2 linked regions of the Callithrix jacchus genome follow. The protein of the gene in region 1 purifies or fractionates together with the protein of each later gene. This does not show direct contact. Links are inferred from orthologs where the notes say so. Each region holds a gene or a part of one and is shown on either strand. Other genes may lie near its edges.

Region 1 (10,796 bases):
ACAGGAGTCTGGATAAGCCAAAGGTTTTCCTAAAGTCACAGAGCCCCTGAGAAGAAAGGCTGGAGTGAAAATCTACTTTCCTGAACACAAGTGTTGGTTCATTTGAATGTTTCTTCTGGGTTCCAATTCCTGCTCTTGGCCCAAGGTAAGCTCCTTTGGTCATGGGTTTCCACATGTTTTAGCAGTAAGTGGATTCTGATGTCTAGTTTCAGGTCTACTTACTGATTTTTCTCTTGCCTTTTTTATCCATCTTCTCCTCCTCACCTCCCTCCTGCTTCTCTCTCTCTCTTCTCTCCCCCCTCTCTCTCTCCTCTCTCTCCTCTCTCTCTCTTCTCTCCTCTCTCTCTCTCTCCTCTCTCTCCTCTCTCCTCTCTCTCTCTCTCTCCTCTCTCTCCTCTCTCTCTCCTCTCTCCCCTCTCTCCCCTCTCTCTCCTCTCTCTCCCCTCTCTCCCCTCTCTCCCCTCTCTCTTCTCTCCCCCCTCTCTCTCTCCTCTCTCTCCTCTCTCTCTCTTCTCTCCTCTCTCTCTCTCCTTTCTCTCCTCTCTCCTCTCTCTCTCTCTCCCCTCTCTCTCCCCTCTCTCTCCTCTCTCCCCTCTCTCTCCTCTCTCTCCTCTCTCCTCTCTCCCCTCTCTCTCCTCTCTCTCCTCTCTCTCTCCCCTCTCCCCTCTCCTCTCTCTCCTCCCCTCTCTCCCCTCTCTCCCCTCTCTCCCCTCTCTCCTCTCTCTCTCCTCTCTCTCTCCCCTCTCTCCCCTCTCTCCCCTCTCTCCCCTCTCTCCCCTCTCTCCCCTCTCTCCCCTCTCTCCCCTCTCTCCCTTCTCTCCCCTCTCTCTCCTCTCTCTCCTCTCTCTCTCCCCTCTCTCCCCTCTCTCTCCTCCCCTCTCTCCCCTCTCTCCCCTCTCTCTCCTCTCTCTCCGGTGCCTGGGTACCTCAGACTTAATAGTTTGTTATTCAGGATCACTTCTTGGTCAATTCATCCATCCCAAGGCAGCCAGAAAGTGAAGGTTAGCTTGGTCACCATCAGGCCCATGTAACACATGGTTTCCCCAAGCCAGAATACAACTGTATCCTGTCCTCATTTTTGACATTTGACCATGATTACAGACTTGCTTTAGCTTAGCAAAGGTATGGGTACTTATGCGCTTAGGAATTTTCACATTTGCTATATTTCATTGTGACAACAACTTTGTCAGGAGATTATAGTCCACTTTTAAACAGGAGGAATAAGGCTAAGAGTTTAAAACTCTTGCCTAAGCCCAGAATACTAGCTACATTAAAAAAATAAAATTAATTCAATTAAGTAAAATGAACTTGAATGATAGATTTTATTTAACCTGATATACCCAAAATATTATCACTAAACATGTAATCAATATGAAAAGATACTAAGAAGAGATCTTATACATTTTTATACTAAATATTAGAAATGTGATGTATACTTTATACTTAGAGCCCATTTGAGTTTGGATTAGACATATTTAAAGTGTTCAATAGCCACATATGACTAATGGCTACTATATTGGACAGTTCAGGTCTACAGCATAAATCAGAGAATGAGACTTTCCACTAAAGTAGTGTCTTCTCATTGCTATTAAAATAAAATTCAAACTTGTTACCATGGCTTATCCAACAGTAGAAGATCTAGACCTTGGCTGCCCCTCCACCTTTCTGTCTTCTATTCACTGTGTTCCAACTAGATTGATTTCTTACTGTCTCCTGGACATGCAAACCTCTTCTCATCTCAGGACTATTGACATATGATAGTCCTTTGCTTAGAAAGTTTTCTCTCAAAGTCTTTTCATGATTGCCTCTTCCCACCAACCAGAACTTCATCTCACCTTAAAGAGGGCTTCTCCAACTATGAAGCTAGAGCTAGGGCTGCACCCGCACCTGCTGCCCCAAGTCATCATGTACTGCATGGCCCTATTTTGTTTTTATAGCACCTATTATTATCTTAAATTACTTTATGTGCTTGCACATTTATTATCTCTCTCCCATTGTTAAAGTGTAAGCTTCTTAAGGTGAAGGACCATTTATTTTTGTCCAGAGCAAAAAGCTGGAACATAGAACAACATCTTGCATACATTAGGTACGCGAGGAATCTCTGTTGACCAGCAAAATGCCTAACTTGATTGATCCCACAGGTCCCAGACAGATCCTGCAGTTGTGAGATGTGTTTTACCTTAAGTCACACTGCTTAAATTGTCATGTCATTTTTATTATTACTTCTCTTATAGAGAATTTGAGTACCTCCTTGACTGAGTTGTTCATTTTTCCTTTTCCCGGAATTGGGAATTTCCTGAGGAGGGTGTTGGTGGTCTCAGTGTCCTACTCTTGACCACTTCCTCTCTTGGTACATGGTCAACTCACATTCCTCCTCCCCCAGCCCAATGGCCCAAGTCATCTGCAAGGTGACTCAGAGCAGCCCACCTCACTTAATTGTCTCCTTGAAGATTCCGATATCTATGTCACTATCTATGTCTGCCTCTTCCACTCCACATCTTTTTGATTTGGACTTTCAGCTTCTTCTTCTGTTGATCTGGGCTCACCTCAACCCATCTTATCTCATCCCATTTTCGCTATTGTGAGGTTATGCAGAATTTAAAAGTGTGAACTTCTTAGCCAGGTATCCAGGTTCAGCTCTTGTTACCTGTGTAGTTTTGTTGTGGTGTTATCCTCCCTGAGCTTCTATTTGTGACCTGTAGAGTAAAGATACTATTACTTCTTCTCAGAGTGTTACTGGGAATACTAAGTGAGATAGTGAATGAAAGTGTTTTTGAAATAGACCATGATAAGTGTTAACTATCATTGCTCACACTTTTTATTTTTCTGTCTCTATTTCCCCTACATACTCTCAAATTCATTTTCCCATCTCCCATCCTCTTGATGGAAATTATATAGGATAGCATGCCAAAGTTTTAACTTTGGGCATGAGTTAAGGGCCTAATTATTCTTAGTGGGTTGTGTAATTGTTGGAGGAAAAGAGTTACTGGTTTGAATTTGAACTCTGTTATTTACTTGCTGTTTTACCTTGGGCAAATTATTTTGCCTCTCTGAGCCTTAGCTGTTTTATCTATGTAATAGACATAATAACATATACCCTTCCCCAAAAAAGCTGTGTGATGTGTTAGAATCCCACATATCTACAGATGCATGCATTAGTGCCTGGTAGACTATCAATATTAATTCCTGCCTCCTTTAAAACAATTATACAAAAAAGAAAATTTTTGAGATTTAGTGTGATTTAATCTACAGGAAAAGGCACCTTTTTTTCCTTGGGAAAAGTTTGAGAGAATGTATGAAAGCATAAGAATTAATGGAGACTGTTTATGAGGTGCAAAAGCAATGGACATGGACATTATCAGAGAATGTTAAACCCTGGCAGCTCACTTAAGGTTTCAAGTCTCTGCAGCCCCCTAGTGGCCATTGGGTGCAGCAGACGATTCACAGTTATTAACAAATTACTAGAGGCCTTTGGTCCAGAATTGTAGAGATAATTAGAGAGGGAAAGGCTGGAGTTTTAGTCTTTTTTTATATTTCAGATAAAAAATTCCTTTTCCAGTATGTATGTCAGAAAAATCTAATGAAAATTAAACATACCGTACATATAGGAAAGTATTAACTACAATAGCATTTTCTTCCCTCTTTTCTTTCTTTTCTTCCCTTCCTTTACCAAGATAGGAACATATTTTCTTCTCCTTGGGTGAGATAATTCGTTGCCCTAAAACTTATAAAGTCAATGTATCCAGTGTGAGTTCCAGAGAGAGGGAGGATGCTTGTCAAATTAAGTGAGTTGCCAAACATAGAGCAGGAAGAAAGCCATTCCGAGAATCAATATTCTTTAGTTACTGGGTCTTACACTTGCCAAAGGCAATGCCACAAAGCTGGAAAGAGCCCAGCTCCTGGGAGAACAGAGATTCCACTTGGCCACTATCTCCTGTGGGGTGAAAGGCAAGTTACTGCGGCCCCTAGGAGCTCAGTGAGGGAGGTTCAATGTGGCATTGTGCTCTGATTCTATGAGAAAACTCCTCTGCTACCTGCCTGGTGTGAGCTCCAGAGAGGATCTTGCCTTATTCTTAGCTCCAACAGCCAGCACAAGGCCTGACAATCAGCCTTCAAGAAGGAACCAAGGGTATTTGTGTGACCCAAAGACTGTGGTTTTGTCTGAGGATCTAGTGAACCACTTGTTATAAAAACAGCTATTATCTGAGTTGTGTGTTGAGGAGAGGTACAGCCTTTACAGTTGAGTAAAAAAGACCTAAGGTTCTGAACACTCATTCCCAAGATTGTTGGCAAGCCATTAAATGATCTGCAACTCAGTTTCTGCATCTGTAAAACTGGAATGAAAATATTCATCTTGCAAGGACTAGGGGAGGTTACACATGTTCAGACACCATTATGAGAAAACGGGGTGACTGACGGCGGCCTGAAATGTATTTGTAGCTGCAGAATAACTCTGCCAGACCATGACCATCCATCCGTCTCTGCCCCCTCTACTCGCAGATTCTCCTGTGTGGATGCGGGACTCCTAAGCTCCCAGGAATGCATTCGAATAGAAGGGTCAGAATGTTCTGTCTCAGGGCCTTATTACAAGCTGTTCTCAGATTTGCCAATGTCGCGCTGCCACCCCCTCCTCACTCCCTCCTCCCTTCCCCTCGCCTCCAGTTTAATTCTGGAACCTGTTTTTCCGAAGTCGGACCCATTTAATCTCTTAAATGCATAATTAGGGAGAGTGCTTGATTGCAAAGGCCTCTACCAGTTCTTGCATTTGCTCCCTTTCACACTGCAGAGAAATAGGGCAGCGAATCTGGAGGAAGGGAAGAACAAGAGACTGGAGAGGGACAGAGGGCGGGTGAGGCGGGCTCACTGCTTTTCTCAATGAATGCTGAGGCCGCTGCAGATTTGCATAGGAACCGACAGAGCCACGCCATTGGTTGGCGGCGCAGGTGGGGCGGGGCAAGGAGGGACTGCGTGGGTCGGGTGGCTCTCGGAGTCCGCTAGCGAGCCCCGCCCCTCTGGGCCCCGCCCCCTCCCGGCGCGCACTCGCGGCTCCGCCAGCTGCAAGTGGCGGGCGCCCAGGCAGATGCGATCCAGCGGCTCTGGGGGTGGCAGCGGCGGTAGCAGCTGGCACCTCCTGCCACCTCTGTTCGGAGGGTCGCGGGGCACCGAGGTGCCTTATAGCAGCCCTCTGGCCGGACACCCGAAGCCGCGGGAGCTGCTGATGGGTGAGGAGGGGGCGGCAAGATTTCGGGCGCTCCTGCCCTGAACGCTCTCCGCTGCTGCCGCCGGGCCGCTCCGGTGCCTGCGAACTCTGAGAAGCTGAGGCGCGGGCGAGAGCAAGGACGCTGCAAACTTGCGCAGCACGGGGGCTCGGATTCACGCCCAGAAGTTCGGCGGGTGGAGCAGTCCGAAACCTTCCTGCAGCAGTGGAGGGTAGCTTGAGGGTGCGCGAGAAGGCAGCAGCCCCCGCCCTCCGTTCCCGCCCAGACCCGGCAGAGGTGCTCAGAGGTGCCAGAAGGAACGCAGGGGCCGGCCAGGACAGTGTGCAGCAGCTAGGAGCACTGTTCTCAGCCCGGAAAGTTGCGAAGATTGGAGGCTGCCCCGAGAGGGGACCGAGCCCAGCTCTGACCGCGGGGGGCAGGAGAGGACGGTACCCAATTGCCACCTCCCTTCAACCATAGTAGTTCCTCTGTATCAAGCGCAGCGAGCTACAGACGGGGGCGCGGCACTCGGCACCGCGAGCCGGAGGCTCAGGGTCCCAGCCCGTGAGCCCAGCGTGCTTGAGGGTCTCTGGACTCGCCCCTGAGCTTCCAGCTCTGTTTCATTGAGACTCCAGCTCCCCTCCGTGCAGTTGAGGGAAAGCAAGAGACTCGCGTGCACGCAGGGACCTCTGAAGATCTGGTGGAAGGAGCCGCTGAGTACCAAGGACTGTTCAGAGCGTCTTCCTATCTGGGGGACTGCGAAGGGCGAGGCTGGGCCCAGAGAGCAGTGTAAACGGCCCCCTCCGGCGGGATGGGAGCCATCGGGCTCCTGTGGCTACTGCCGCTGCTGCTTTCCACCGCAGCTTTGGGGTCCGGGATGGGGGTGGGCCAGCGCTTGGGGTCCCCAGCTGCGGGGCTGCAGCTGCAGCCCCGGGAGCCACTCAGCTACTCGCGCCTGCAGAGGAAGAGTCTGGCAGTGGACTTCGTGGTGCCCTCGCTCTTCCGTGTCTACGCCCGGGACCTGCTGCTGCCGCCATCCCCCTCGGAGCTGAAGGCTGGAAGGCCAGAGGCACGAGGCTCGCTAGCGTTGGACTGCGCCCCACTGCTCAGGCTGCTGGGGCCGCCCCCCGGGGTCTCCTGGACTTGGGGCTCACCCGCCCCGGCAGAGGCCCGGACGCTGTCCAGGGTGCTGAAGGGCGGCTCCGTGCGCAAGCTCCGGCGCGCCAAGCAGCTGGTGTTGGAGCTGGGCGAGGAGGCGATCCTGGAGGGTTGCGTTGGGCCCCCGGGGGAGGCGACTGCGGGGCTGCTCCAGTTCAACCTCAGCGAGCTGTTCAGTTGGTGGATTCGCCAGGGCGAAGGGCGACTGAGAATCCGGCTGATGCCCGAGAAGAAGGCGTCGGAAGTGGGCAGAGAGGGAAGGCTGTCCGCGGCAATCCGCGCCTCCCAGCCCCGCCTTCTCTTCCAGATCTTCGGGACTGGTGAGCAGCTCCCGACTGAGCGTGCCGGGATTTAGTGTTTTTATTCACACTGATATGTAACCATTAAGTAATCCCACTTACTAAAAACCTCAGCTTCTACTTCTTAGCCCTACTTCCTCCTGCAAACCTCCTTCCTGAGTCAGACTGCAGTTTCTTGTTTTCTCCCTGAACGCAGTTCAGGGGTCTTACTTCCTCTTTAGCAACCAAGTTGGGAGAAAAGTTTCCTACTCTTGGCAGAGCGCCTTATTCTCTGGACTTAACACGTGGTCTGAGCCAAAATTGGGTGCCCCTCTTACTGGGTCCCTGGGACAGTTGAAATGCCCCTATTACTTCTAGGTTCCAAGCTTAGCAGTAGATGTCAAAGCTGTTGCCCTTCTCTCCCCCTTGTTCCTGGCCAGCACGGATTTGGGAAATATGATACGTCTTCTCAGGGAATATAGAATTTCTCTTTATGTTATTGAATCTCACCCAACTGCCCCCCTCTCAAATGTTGGCTTGGGCAGAGATTGCCAGGGATTGTCTCTTCTTTATTAATTCATTCTTCCCTCTCTCACCCCTAGCCAGTGTGCTGTGCACTCTCAGACTCATCCTTTTTCTTACATGTTGCTGGGAAACACCCAGAGAAACTAAGGAACAGAGGACTGGAGGGAGATGTGGAAGAAGGGAAGAAAGTTGTCAAGATTATCTTCCTTTGGAAGAGTCACTATGAAGCTAGGGAGAAGCAATCATTGGTTTTCCTGCTTTTCTTACCTTTTCCCCCCTCCTCTGTTCCCCTCTGATTCTTAGCTTGAATGTCTGCAGCAGCAGCTCTTGATGATAGTCGGTGGCAGGCTTGTTTCACTGCAGATCTCCCTGATGGAGACTCCTAAAATGACATTTTTCAGTTTCATTTACTCCGTCATTTCTTCCCATATTCACTGAGTTGGGTGTGTGTGTGCAGACACTTACTTCTAACTCTTTCCAGAGTATCCTTTGACTGGAAAACCAGGTAGTTTTTAATGGATGTTTTTCTTGTAAGACAAATGGGGAAAGACATGTGAATAAAATATACAATGTAAATGAATGAGAAAGGCACAGAAAAGAAATCAGGCTTTTAAAAAGCCTACACAAATTCCATTGAGCAAACCGAGCTCCTTTTCTATCATTCTCATCATCAGAAATAAATGAAGTTCTTATGCTCCACTGGCTACTAATGTCTAGAATTAATTGGATGGAGAGCCATGAAAGGGGTCCATTGTAGAGCTACAAGTATCTTGCATTCTTGTTCCAACACACACACACACACACACACGTGCACTCTCATGCAGCAAGGATATTCAGAAGCTGAGGTTCCCTAGACATTGCACAGAAAACATACTAGTATGTCATTCCCAAGAAAAACAGAGTGCAGATCCATATTTCAGCCTTAGTGTTAGTGGCACTGGCACCTAAAGGGAGCCCTTTCTGTTTAGTGCTGGAATTTATAGAGTCCATCCTAAAAGGCACCGATGAGTCTGATAGTGCCTTTGATGAACTGAGATGGAAGACTGTGACTGTTGTTCCACCAAAGATATTTTTGTAAAGAACAGCTGGGCTTTAATGTCATTGTGGCTTGTGTGGTTTACACATGCAACATTCTGTTTTAGTGCCCAATGTTTTAGTAATGAATATAAAATTGACTTCTCTGGAAATGCAGATTATCTTCTAATTTCATGCCTATGAGCATCTCTGGAGCTTCCCCATTGCCTTTTTTCAAATGACCATAGAATTCAGCAGTCTATATCAGCTGTTGTCAGATGTTGGTGACAGGTAAAAGGGCTCATTTCTACATCCCCAAACCTGCCTACTGTAAACAGGTAGGTTGCATGAAGACATCAGTGGCTGTCTCTGAAGAGTCACATGCTTAATGCCTTTGAAAAATATGCTATACTCAAGTCTTAAATAAGGAGTTGGAGCTGCCGAGTGGGGAGGTTTATGTAGAAAGGCATGTGCTCCAAGGGCTTCTCTGCTATTGGCTGTAGGGAAGCACTGTGGGCATCCTATGCCCTCCCTTAAGGGCCCAGTACATTTGGCAGCTGGACCAAGCCCTTATGCATCACTGACACATCTAGGAATGCTGGTTTCAGTAGGAGCCAGGATTCTGCCATTAAAAGGCTAGAAACTTTGGCCAAGCATTTTTCAGCAGGATTGGGATCAAATGATTATTGATAGGATCAAACAAGACACTAAGTGTAGCTGGATGAGCTCCCTGTGACCTCCAGAGAGACAGACAACCTATTGAAAAGCACTTCAGGCCTTGTAGTGACCACACTTGGAACAGCCTGGTCTCTCCTAACTCTGAGGACATATGCTGTCTGCAGTTAGGCAGCTGGCCATGCAGGACTAGCCTCTCTCATGTTGTCATTGCCTCCCCAAACTCATTCAGTTGTAGTCTCCACTGCAGACATCCCCATGGAGTAGACACACCCTGTTATACCGTGTTCTGTATTTCGGACAACATATATCATAATGGTTCCATTCATTTTTCTTATGAAAATTCAAGCTTAGGTTCTGACACTGGGATTGATTTTGCTGTTTATCATGTTTGGAGAAATGGATTTATTGTTTTTATATAGGCTCTTATTTATAGAAAAGGCATTTAACTCTTCTATGATGTGGGCTCTTCAATTATACAGAGGGAAAGTAGACACAACTCTGCTTATTTCTTCCTGTGTCTGTCTAAGTGACTTGTGGTCTTGTTTGGAGGTACACAATGATGCTAATGGGGCTATCTGTGGGGAGGAAAGAGCTGGTTGCTCTTCCATCTCTTGTGGTGAGAGGCCTGGAGCAGCCCATTTGGCTCAGACCAAAGACAGCTTCCTAAACCTGAGCAGGACCATGACTAAAATAGCAACAATGAAAAAGCACCAGTTAGAAGAAAGCAAAACCTTTGCATTGTTTGTGATTTGGACTGTCTGAGAAGACAAGATGTCTGAGAGGCCTTGTAATGCATGAAATGCTAATGGCTTTTCTTTGTTGGTTGCTGTGAATTCATAAATGGGATGAGCCTTTCAAGTCGGAGGCAGTTCCAAAATGCACCCAGTCATGGAGAAGAGGTGAAGAGGCAGTTTCTGGGACTGTATTTAATAGTCCTGGCCTCTCCCAGGACAGCCCAAATCATGGAAAAGATATCTGTCTGCAAGGCTGACATGTTGCCCACAGCTGCAGTTTGTATCCTGCCTTACAGGTATTTTGAGATCTGTTTCTGTCGTCACCCAGGCAGAGGGCTAGGGGATGATGACTCATGGGGATAGGAGGCCTATTTCCCTGTAAGCACTCTCTCCCTACTCCAGGAAAGTGGATACATGACTTGGGATTTTACATGTAATATGGAGAGGCCTGAGCAATTTAGAGATGAATGCAGTGCAATATACCCTGATCTTGACTCCCCATATCTGTCAGTCCCTTCCCATTTCACTTCTGGGGTGGGCAGAGACAGAAAAAAAAAAAAAAGAGAGAGGAAATTAGAGCTCCCAGAAGGGATATCAGTTATTGGAGGTGAATTGAGAGAATTGGAACTAGTCCAGAGAAGAGCAGAGAGCCGATTTAACAGTTGAAGGGACTGATTTATGATGAAAGATGAAAAGAATTAAATATATATGGCTGGGCTAAATGGCAGTGAAGGGAGAGCCATGGTAACAATCTATGAATCTCTGAAGAGAGTGAATGGCAGTGAAGGAGAGGAGTTATTTAGCCTGGCCCATGGAAGTAATTGGATCAGACTTGCAGAAGGAAACTTTGGGTTGGATATCAGGGAAAGCTTGTTTTCTGACATTGATACCCCTCTGATTAGGGAATGGAGTTCCAAGGGAGCAGGGAGTCAGGTGAGATATGGGTCAGACAAGCCCCAGCTTTCCTAATTAATCAGTTCTATATTTTCAAATATTGAGAAGCCATAACAAGACAGAGAGCTGGGATGGAGAATGGAAGAAGGAATCAGAACCTTTTATGATCCAAATCCTGAGAGCCTTTGGGCATTGGTGTTTTTAGAGGAAAAAAAAGAATTGCATATACATCTTTGAAGTTAGTGAGAAGCACTTACAAAAAAATTGTTAATGACAAATATTTTAAAATTACTCAGTTGATTCTTCCCTGCCCTCCA
Region 2 (10,780 bases), on another chromosome or scaffold:
TTGGCTGACTCGGGAAAGTGGGAAGCGTGAAGGAGGGAACCTGAGGTAGAGGGTCAGGGGTTAGTGAGGCCGGAAGTGAGTGTAATAAAGTTTCTCCGGGGAGGCAGGGCCCGGGGAGAAAGTTGGAGCGGTAACCTAAGCTGGCAGTGGTGTGATCCGGAACCAAATCGGCCCGCGGTGCGGTGCGGAGACTCCATGAGGCCCTGGTGAGTCTTGATTTTTTTCTCCTTAGGTTACCCACTCTTCTACCCCGGAACCCCTCTCACGGGACCCCACTTCCGGTCTTCATTTATAAGTCCCGCCCCCTGAGACCCCTCTCCCCGGAAGTCCCACCTCCCAACTTCGGGGTGCTCCCCCGAACCCCCACTTGATTTTTACTGTCTGTCTCCGACCCCACCCTGTCACCCAGTTTTCCTGGAAGCCCCACCCCCAGACACGTTCCAAGCCCTTGTACGAGAAATCCTTCGTTATTCCTTCCATTCTCCGAAACTCCGCCTCCTAGCAAGGATCCTCCGCTAACTCCTGTCAAAAAGACTATCTCCCTAAAGGGCAAAACCCTGCTCCTCAAAGAACGAGATTCGAATTTGTTGAAGCCACGCCTATCCAGGGCCCCGCCCCTCTGAGACCACGCCCCTTCTGTAATCTACATCTGACTGTCCAGAAAGCCTCCCTGCTTAGAAGTCTAATGCTCTAGTCCTAGGGGACCACGCCCCCTTGGTAGTTTTATCTTTGTGGGACCTAGATCCTCAACTGAAAAGCCTTGATTTCAATCCCTGAAACTCCACCTGTTTATATTTCCCTGTCCTTTCTCTTTTTTGGGGGCCTTGGGATCAGTTTTCCGAGCACTCTTCTGCTCCCCCAAGTGGGAAGTCAAAATTCCCATCTCTGGCTGTGAGGCATAAGATTAAAGGCAGCCGTTTTCCTCTCTTTTTTTTTTTTTTTTTTTGAGACGGAGTTTCGCTCTTGTTGCCCAGGCTGGAGTGCAATGGTGCGATCTCGTCGCAACCTCTACCTCCCGGGTTCAAGTGATTCTCCTCCCTCAGCTTCCCGAGTAGCTAGGATTACAGGCACCCGACACCATGCTCGGCTAATTTTTGTATTTTTAGTAGAGACGGGCTTTCACCATGTTGGCCAAGCTAGTCTCGAACTCCTGATCCACCCGCCTTGGCCTCCTTAAGTGCTGGGATTACAGGCGTGAGCCACCGCGCCTGTTTTCCCCTTTCTTAACTTCCTCTAAGGGTAGAGCTATTTGAAGGGGCTGAACTTGGGGTTTGGCATGAGAGGGAGAGAGACTTGCTCTCAAGACTCCCAGCCTCACTTCCTGGCTTTCCCTTCCTAGGACCAACTCCACCCCAGAAATAGCTCTAGGCTTTACCTATACATCAGTGGATAGGACCATGGATTTGTTGGTGTGTGGCATGTGGGTGTGACAGGAGTGAAAGTTTTCTACTACCAGAAAAACGGTGGTTTGGAGTGGCAGTAGATAATATACTCTTTTTGTTTGATTTTTTTTTTAAGGGACAGTTCAGTCGCTACTTCTCTGTCTCTTCCCCTCCCCCTAATCAGAGATCTTTTCTGGGCATTCCTCCTGGTCCCGTGTGCCCAGCCTTCTCTGCTGGAAACATTCCTGAGGCTTTCGCCATTTCCTGCTACTTCCCGCTCCTCTCCCCTCCTCCCAGTTGGGCTGAGAAGCCACACACAGCTTTTCCCCTACACCCAATCACCTGGACTTCCAGTAGGCAATCTTCTTTCTCCCTATGCAAATTTAAAGAGTTATACTTCTTTCTTTTCTTCTAAACGCCCACACCCATCGGTCATTTTCTGGCTCTGGATACTGCAAGCTCCCACAGAATATCATCTCCACAGATGAGGACATCCTAGTGTGTGTTTGTGTGTTTTGGGGGTGTGAGGCTATGGTGGAATCCTTTCCTCATTCTCTCTATGCCTGAGAGATGGCTGGAAATGAAGTGATAAAATTCCTTCTCAGGATTAGCTGACAGAGTGACAAAGCTCTCCTGGAATGAGCACTAAGTGGAGATGTAAGAGTTAAGTGACCGGGCACGGTGGTACATGCCTGTAAACCCAGCACTTTGGGAGGCTGACAAGGGCAGATCACGAGGTCAGGAGCTCGAGACCATTCTGGCTAATGCGGTGAAACCCCATCCCTACTAAAAATACAAAAAATTAGCCTGGCGTGGTGGCATGGGCCTGTAGTCCCAGCTACTCAGGAGGCTGAGGCAGGAGAATTGATTGAGCCCGGGAGTTGGAGGTTGCAGTAAGCCAAGATCATGCCACTGCACTCCAGCCTGGGGGACAGATCGAAAAGCAAAACCCTGTCTCAAAAAAAAAAAAAAAAAAAAAAAAAAAAAGTTAAGCACAGTATCTAACACACTTTAAGTGTTAATGTTGTTAATCAGGATAATCATATTATATATATAAATCCACAAGTAAATCTAAGGGTAATTCCAAGGTGAGCTTGAGATGATATGTATCTTTTTTTTTGTTTGTTTTGGAGGTGGAGTTTCACTCTTGTCACCCAGGCTGGAGTGCAGTGGCTTGATCTCGGCTCACTGCAACTTCCACCTCCTGGGTTCAAGCAATTCTCCTGCCTCAGCCTCCAGAGCTGGGATTACAGGTACCTGCCACCATTTCCAGGTAATTTTTTGTATTTTTAGTAGAGACAGGGTTTCACCATGTTAACCAGGCTGGTCTCGAACTCCTGACTTCAGGTGATCCACCTGCCTCAGCCTCCCAAAGTGCTGGGATTACAGGCGTGAGCCACTGCACCTGGTGGGAATATGTATCTTTAACTTGTTTTTTTGGTCACTTTCCAGCTTTCCTATGGCATTCTCCAGAAGAGCAGTGGCAGGAAGCCGTGGGTGGCGGGAATGGGATTGGGACTGTTCCCTGTGCCAGCTTCAGCCCGTCTTCTCCTGACATCCCTTTGTCCTGTACTTATTTTTTCTCCTGTCCTTATTGACATGGATGCGTCTTCTGATCTCTCTGTCCTTTCCTGGCGTGTAGCTTCTATGTCTCTTGGAGAACTGTTTCTTCTTTCAGCCAGGCTCCTTCCCAGGTGTGAGGGACACTGTACTCTTTGGTGGGGCTTAGGGCCCTGTAAGAGCAGGGATATGAAGTGGGGTGGTTTGGAGTGGGTGTGGGGACCTGAGGCCTCATTCTCACCCTTGACAATGTACTGTGTTAAGCCTGTGGAAAGGGGAGACTGGATAGTGCTTGGCTGTGAGCCATAGCTCTTTGGTGTGGTAGATGCCGCGCATAGAGAACAAGCTGTGACCAGCATGTCCTCTTGTTCACTTCTTGCCTGGTAGCTTCCTGATGTACCATCCAGGTTGGACTTTATTCCCTGATTTTCACCAGCTTTGCTCTTCCTCTTGACCCTGCTCTGCATCCATTGGGACCACTTCCTTCCCATCCCCACTTCGCTAGCTCCAGTCCACAGCTGTTGTAGCAGAGGATGCTAATGGCCCAGGCTCACTGTATGTGGTAGTGGTGCGGGGTGGCCTGGGCTCGAGAATGGGGGAATTCTAGTGTTCAACCAGGACAGGAAGGGAAATGCTGAGCTCTGAGATCTCCTCCCTTTTCCACCCCCAGTTGCCTCCGTTTCCTCCCTCATTCCTCTCTACTCTCGCCTGGCTTCCTGGCCCCTTTGGTCTGCCTGTGTCCGGTTTCCAGTGACCCGCACCTCCTCTTATCTCCCTCCTTTCCGTCTTATTTCTCCATCCTCTCCTCCCACCCCCCACTTTACTCCTCCCCAGATTACTAGTTGTTTGTATAGGGCTGGGGAGAGTTCGAGGTTGGGGCAGGGTGGGGCTCAGCCCCTCTGAGCCTGTGAGTCAGCACTGTCCTCCGGATTGGTCTCTCTCCTTAGCTCCCCGCCCCCAGGGAGGAGCCAGGCAGCTCTGGGTCCAGCCTGTTCTCTTCTCAGCCAGAGAAGAGGCTCCACGTTGGGCGGGGATGGGGCCTGAAACTGTCTGGGTCTGAGCTGGGGAGCGGAACCCACTTGTCCCTCTCCCTCCCCAGGACTTCTGTGACTCCTGGGCCACAGAGGTCCGACCAGGCTAAGGGCCTGGGGATACCCTCTGCCTGGCCCCCTTGCCCAAACTGGCAGGGGGGCCAGGCCGGGCAGCAGCCCCTTTCTCACCTCAGCTATGGATCTCCTGCCCCCTAAGCCCAAGTACAATCCACTCCGGAATGAGTCTCTGTCATCGCTGGAGGAGGGGGCTTCAGGGTCCACCCCCCCGGAGGAGCTGCCTTCCCCATCAGCCTCATCCCTGGGACCCATCCTGCCTCCTCTGCCTGGGGACGATAGTCCCACTACCCTGTGCTCCTTCTTCCCGCGGATGAGCAACCTGAGGCTCGCCAATCCGGCTGGGGGGCGCCCCGGGCCTAAGGGGGAGCCAGGAAGGGCAGCCGATGATGGGGAGGGGATCGTAGGGGCAGCCATGCCAGACTCAGGCCCCCTACCCCTCCTCCAGGACATGAACAAGCTGAGTGGAGGCGGCGGGCGCAGGACTCGGGTGGAAGGGGGCCAGCTGGGGGGCGAGGAGTGGACCCGCCACGGGAGCTTTGTCAATAAGCCCACACGGGGCTGGCTGCATCCCAACGACAAAGTCATGGGACCCGGGGTTTGCTACTTGGTTCGGGTGAGTGAACATTCTCTCTTCCACTCCCTCCCAGCCCCCGCCCCCCCCCCCCCCCCAGTTCTGCTCACTCCAGCTTGGCTGGAATCTCTTTTCTCCTGCTGTTCTACAACCCCGTTTCAGTGTCCTATTTCCTAAACCTTTCCCATCCCTTCCCTGATTCTGTAGTCCCTTCCCTTCCAGCTCTGCCTGAGCCCCCTTCCTTCTTTTGACTCCCCCACCCCCACCTCTACCCTGCCATGCTTAGCACAATGCCCAGCATGGCAGAAGCTCTTAGTAAGTGTTGGAATGAGTGACTTATTGATCCTCCCCTCCATTCTCCTCCTGCTTTCTGGAGTTGTCACTCCATCCCAGCCAATGCCTGTCGGTCCCCTCCAAACTCTCTCCCCAGTGCGAGGTCCTTCTTTCTAGCCTGCCTTTCTTTCTCTCCTCATTCCCTGTTGTCTTTCACCTTGATTGTGGGATGTAGCCACGGGAAGTGGGCAGAACCTCTCCATCTCTACTTCCCTTAAGGACCATGTGGGCAAAGTCCTAGGGCCCTTTGTGAAGGGGCTGGGGTGGGGGAGCTGCTGACCTGCTGTCCTCCCCTCCTTCCGCTTAGTACATGGGCTGTGTGGAGGTCCTGCAGTCAATGCGTGCCCTGGACTTCAACACCCGGACTCAGGTCACCAGGTTAGTGGGGAGGGAGTGGATTGGGGGAGTCCCGGGGTTAGTGAGGCCACAGGAAAGGGAGGAGGGGAGTGGTCACTTGAGTGCTGCTGGTGGGGGCTGATCTTTGGGTAGTGGAGGGGATTGAGAGAAAGCTGGTGGTAATTCTGTATCTTACTGAAAGGAGGCCCCTCTGGCCTGGATCCTCCTTACCTATCCATCCTTGGGAGTTGTGGGGAAGGTGGCAGAAGCAGCTGGCAGGTAGAGCTGGAGTAGAAAATGGGGGTAGATGGAAGGTTGCTGCTGCCTTTGGGAAGGGAATGGGACATTTGGTAGCTGGAAGTGGGTGGGTCTGTACCCATTGAGGCCCTAACCCAATCAGCCAGGAAGCGGCCTCTCAGTGTCATCAAATATTAAAGGCCCTTAATTCAATCCACCACGACAAAGAGCCTGGAGTGCCCTGGGAGTCTGGCCTGGCTTTCCCCTCCCCCAGCCCTGTGGCAGCCCCAGCTGAGTGGGAAGCAGGCAGGCACTGGGTCTGAGTACCCCTCTTTCCCCAGGGAGGCCATCAGTCTGGTGTGTGAGGCTGTGCCGGGTGCTAAGGGGGCGACAAGGAGGAGAAAGGTATCTGGGGTCCTTGGGGATAGGGATGCAGCTGGGAGATGTGAGGGGCAGGGGGAAGGCAAGTGTGGGGCATGTGGGGGAAGGCCAGAAGGCAAGAGTGTGGTTTGCCGGAGCTGGGAACCCTCACCTTCTGAGACCCTGGGCCCTACCTTAGCCCTGTAGCCGCCCGCTCAGCTCTATCCTGGGAAGGAGTAACCTGAAATTTGCTGGGATGCCAATCACTCTCACCATCTCCACCAGCAGCCTCAACCTCATGGCCGCAGACTGCAAGCAGGTTGGTGGAGTTGGGCAGGGGGACTAGAAACACTGGTGGGGGTGCTAAGGGGAGATCTAGTTAGGAGGCCAAAAACTAGGAAGAGGGCTTGAGAGCAAGAGACCAGTAGGGACGGAGGAAGTGAGGATATGGGATAAGGAACCCAGAGAATGAAACTGGGTGTGAGGGTTCTGGGCCCTGAGGCGCCTGACGCATGGCATTCCCTTCCTTCTTCATCCCCTGCCCTGATTCTCAGATCATCGCCAACCACCACATGCAATCTATCTCATTTGCATCCGGCGGGGATCCGGTGAGTTGGGGAACAGAGCAAAGGTGGCGGGAGAAGAGCAAGGGGCTAGGGATTGGGAAGACATTTATTAGAGAAGTGGGGGTGCTAGGATTGTGGGGATATCTGAAAAGGACGGGGTTTTAGGGGTTAGGAGTAAAGTGGAGCTGTAACATTTTCTGACCTTCCTCCCCAGGACACAGCCGAGTATGTCGCCTATGTTGCCAAAGACCCTGTGAATCAGAGAGGTGAGGCATGGTGGGGAGCACTGGGTGGGTCCGGCTGTTTGAGGAGATGAGCGGGACCTGGGGTCTGCACCCGCTTTTGCTAAGTAGAGCTAAGTAGGGGTTCCTGCTGAGGAAGATGAGGGCCCTGTCTATGCCTCCTCCCAGTGGGCTCAGCTCAATGACCGCCTCTGCTGTGCCCTCAGCCTGCCACATTCTGGAGTGTCCTGAAGGGCTTGCCCAGGATGTCATCAGCACCATTGGTCAGGCCTTCGAGTTGCGCTTCAAACAATACCTCAGGAACCCACCCAAACTGGTCACCCCCCATGACAGGTGAGCAGGTGGGGAGGATGTGCAGCAGCTCTTAAGCCCCAGAACAGGATTGGGAAAGGAGGGCTGCTCTTCCTACACTTGAGCTGAGAGGCTTAGGGAGGGAATAACCTGCGTGCCTCTGCTTCCCCCTTCCTGTGATTCTTCCATTTCCTGTGGCCCACAAGGAAAGACTCTTGAGGCCCTGCTTGCTGCAGGGCCAGCTTTTCCTCCTGTTGCTCATGGTGGAGCTGCAGTCTGAGGCATCCAAGTTACATCTCTCTCTCTGGCTAGATGAGATTTTTCTACTCCCATCCCTCTTGCTTGCCCATTTCTCTGACACTCTGTATTTTAATGCTTCCAGAAGCCATCAAGAATTTGGGTTTGTGAGGATATCTCTTTTCCCTGAGATTAGTGTTTCCCACCTCTGGCCGTGAGGGATAAGCAGTGGCGCCAGGAGGGACTGATTAGGAGAGGTTAAACTATTCTGTAGTGCCTTCTCCCCACCTCACTACATAATGCTTCCCTTCCTTGCTGGCAGATAGCACAGTGATCAAGGGCAAGAGCATTACTTTTTTATTTTGAGACAGAATCTTGCTGTGTTGCCCAAGCTGGAGTTCAGTGGTGTAATCACACAACTCACTGCAGCCTCCATATCCTGGGCTGAGTGATTCTCCCACCTCAGCCTCCTGAGTAGCTGGGACTACAGGTGCATGCCACCACACCTGGCTAAGTATTATTATTTTTTTGGTAGAGGCAGTCTCACTACGTTGCCCTGTCTGGTCTTGAACTCCTAGGCTCAAACAACCTCCCTCCTTGGCCTCCCAAAGTGTTGGGATTACAGGTATGAGCCATTGCACCTGCCCAAGGGCATAAGCTTTAAAGTCAAACCTGAATTTAAATCTGAGTCTGTCACCTTTTAGTTGTGAGACCTTGGGCAAATCTTTTCACCACTGATCCTCATTTGCCTCATCTGTAAAACTAGGAAAGAAAACAATACCTATCTTATGGGGTTGCCAGGAGAATGAAATGATTAGGTATATAACACACTCAGCCTCAGGCCTAACCCATAGTAAATACCGAATACATGGCTGCTGTTCCGTTCCCTCCTCCTGCCCACCACACATTTACGGCCACACCTTCACTGTCCTGTCTCTCAGGATGGCTGGCTTTGATGGCTCAGCTTGGGATGAGGAGGAGGAAGAGCCACCTGACCATCAGTACTATAATGACTTCCCGGGGAAGGAACCCCCTCTTGGGGGGGTAGTAGACATGAGGCTTCGGGAAGGAGCCACTCCGCCCACTGCCCAGACCCCCAGCCACTTGGGAGCTACACTGGTAAGTTGTTTGGATGGAGGCCTAGGGTGGGAGTGGCTGGTTAGGGCCTCTGGTTCCACCTTATTTTCATCCTTGCAGCCTATAGGACAGCCTGTTGGAGGAGATCCAGAAGTCCGCAAACAGATGCCACTTCCACCACCCTGTCCAGGTATGAAGGGAGCCGAGATGGGCAGAGCTGGGGAGTCCTGGAGGCAGGACCGGGATCACTGTACAGCCTCCCTTTCCTCAGCAGGCAGAGAGCTCTTTGATGATCCCTCCTACGTCAACGTCCAGAACCTAGACAAGGCCCGGCAAGCAGGGGGTGGTGCTGGGCCCCCCAATCCTGCCATCAATGGCAGTGCGCCCCGGGACCTATTTGACATGAGTGAGTGCTCCTCTCTCCTCTCTGCATCCCTATCTTCCTACTTGGTTCTGGCCCTTCCCCTGCCTATATCTGCTCTTTCCTTCCCTGAAGTCTGGGTCTTGGGTGTGTATTGTGCCTGCTACCTCCCCTCACCCTCTCTCTACACCTCCAGAGCCCTTTGAAGATGCTCTTCGGGTGCCTCCACCTCCCCAGTCGGTCACCATGGCTGAGCAGCTCCGAGGGGAGCCCTGGTTCCATGGGAAGCTGAGCCGGCGGGAGGCTGAGGCACTGCTGCAGCTCAACGGGGACTTCCTGGTGCGGGAGAGCACGACCACACCTGGCCAGTATGTGCTCACTGGCTTGCAGAGTGGGCAGCCCAAGCATCTGCTACTGGTGGACCCTGAGGGTGTGGTGAGTATGGCAGAGGTGAGGGTGAGGGGTGGCAGAAAGGAAGGTACAGTACCCTACAGTGCATTCTTGTTCCTTCCCCCATTGCTTTCTAGACATTTCCTGCTGGGCAGCTCTCTGTGGGCCTCTCTGCTCTTCAAGGTGTCTGGCATCTTCCTCCAGGGGCTTATCCCTTAGCCTGAACTGTGTCCTTTATAGTCCTGGCACAGGGCCAGGCATGGTGGCTCACGCCTATAATCCCAGCACTTTGGGAGGCCAAGGTGGGCAGATCACTTGAGGTTAGGAATTTGAGTCCAGCCTGGCCAACATGGTGAAACCCAGTCTCTAGTAAAAATATAAAGATTGGTCAGGCACAGTGGCTCACGCCTGTAATCCCAGCACTTTGGGAGGCTGAGGTGGGTGAATTACCTGAGGTCAGGAGTTTTGAGACCAGCCTGACCAATATGCTGAAACCCTGTCTCTACTAAAAATACAAAAACTAGCCGGGTGTGGTAGCCTGTACCTGTAGTCCCAGCTACTTGGGAGGCTGAGGCAGGAGAATCGCTTGAACCAGGGAGGTGTAGGTTGCAGTGAACTGAGGTGACACATTGAGGCTCTGTCTCAAAAAAAACAAAACAAAACAAAACAAAAACCTGTGTGTGGTGGCACACAGCTGTAATCTCAGCTACTCAGGAGGCTGAAGCAGGAGAATGGCTTGAACCGGGAGGTGGAGGTTGTAGTGAGCTGAGATCACACTGCTGCACTCCAGCCTAGACAACAGAGTGAGATTCTGCCTAAAAAAACAAAACAAAACAAAATAAATACAGCCCTGGCTCCTCCTCAAATCTCCAAGCCGTAAGCTTATCAGAGCTAGAAGGCAGTCATCTATATCATCTGTGCCCCTCTTTTGACAAATGAGGAGACCACTCTGAAGAGGTTGTGATGCCCAAACTCAGATGGTTAGAGGCTAGACACTGCAAGTTTCCTTTTGTAAGAAGACCCACGGGCTTCCCCAGCTCCCCAGACTCAGGACTCAGACCCTTGTGCTTCCCCTTACCTGTACTGCATTACTGTTCCTCCAGACTTCCGTTGTTTAGCCACGTGTGGTGGCTCCAGCCTGTAAGCCCAACATTTTGAGAGGCTGAGGTGGGAAGACAAGCCTGGGCAACATAGCGAGACCTGGTCTCTACAAAAGTAAAAAAATAAAAAATTAGTCAGGAATGGTGAAACATGCCTGTAGTTCTGGCTGCCCAGGAGGCCGAGGCCTTGAGGATCGCTTGAGCCCAGGGGTTCTAGGTTACAGTGAGCCATTATTGTGCCACTGCACTCTAGCCCGGCTGACAGAGACCCTGTCTGGAAACAAAAAACTTTTGTTTTCTACAGTAATCTCACCCTCCTTTCCTTTTTCTTTTTTTTTTTTGAGATAGGGTCTCACTTTGTCACCCAGGCTGGGGTGTGTTGGCACAATCACAGCTCACTGCTGCCTTTGCCTCCGGGGCTCAAACAATCCTCCCACCTCAGCCTCCCACCTCAGCCTCCCAGGTAGCTGGGACTACAGGCATGTACCACTATACCTTGCTAATTTTTTTTTTTTTTTTTTGTAGAGATGGGGTTTTGCCATGTTGCTCAGGATGTTCTTGAACTTCTGGGCTTAAGTGGTCCACCTGCTTTGGCCTCCCAGAGTGCTGGGATTACATGTGTGAGCCA

What was found.
Region 2: the proteins of ALK (region 1) and SHC1 purify together in Homo sapiens (affinity purification with mass spectrometry; 3 studies listed by BioGRID and IntAct, with this or other methods). This does not show direct contact. The link is inferred for Callithrix jacchus from reciprocal best matches to the Homo sapiens genes ALK and SHC1.

The regions. Positions count from the first base shown.
Region 1 is NC_133515.1:85,091,123-85,101,918, forward strand, and holds the start of ALK (ALK tyrosine kinase receptor), read left to right. Parts: upstream 1-5,078; 5' UTR 5,079-6,009; coding exon 6,010-6,676; intron 6,677-10,796. UniProt on the Homo sapiens protein: Neuronal receptor tyrosine kinase that is essentially and transiently expressed in specific regions of the central and peripheral nervous systems and plays an important role in the genesis and differentiation of the nervous system.
Region 2 is NC_133519.1:15,378,977-15,389,756, reverse strand, and holds SHC1 (SHC-transforming protein 1), read left to right. Parts: upstream 1-3,948; 5' UTR 3,949-4,169; coding exon 4,170-4,664; intron 4,665-5,262; coding exon 5,263-5,333; intron 5,334-5,869; coding exon 5,870-5,933; intron 5,934-6,087; coding exon 6,088-6,207; intron 6,208-6,442; coding exon 6,443-6,496; intron 6,497-6,668; coding exon 6,669-6,720; intron 6,721-6,902; coding exon 6,903-7,029; intron 7,030-7,564; exon of another isoform or gene 7,565-8,165; coding exon 8,166-8,343; exon of another isoform or gene 8,344-8,421; coding exon 8,422-8,491; exon of another isoform or gene 8,492-8,572; coding exon of another isoform or gene 8,573-8,575; coding exon 8,576-8,707; exon of another isoform or gene 8,708-8,858; coding exon 8,859-9,271; downstream 9,272-10,780. UniProt on the Homo sapiens protein: Signaling adapter that couples activated growth factor receptors to signaling pathways. Participates in a signaling cascade initiated by activated KIT and KITLG/SCF.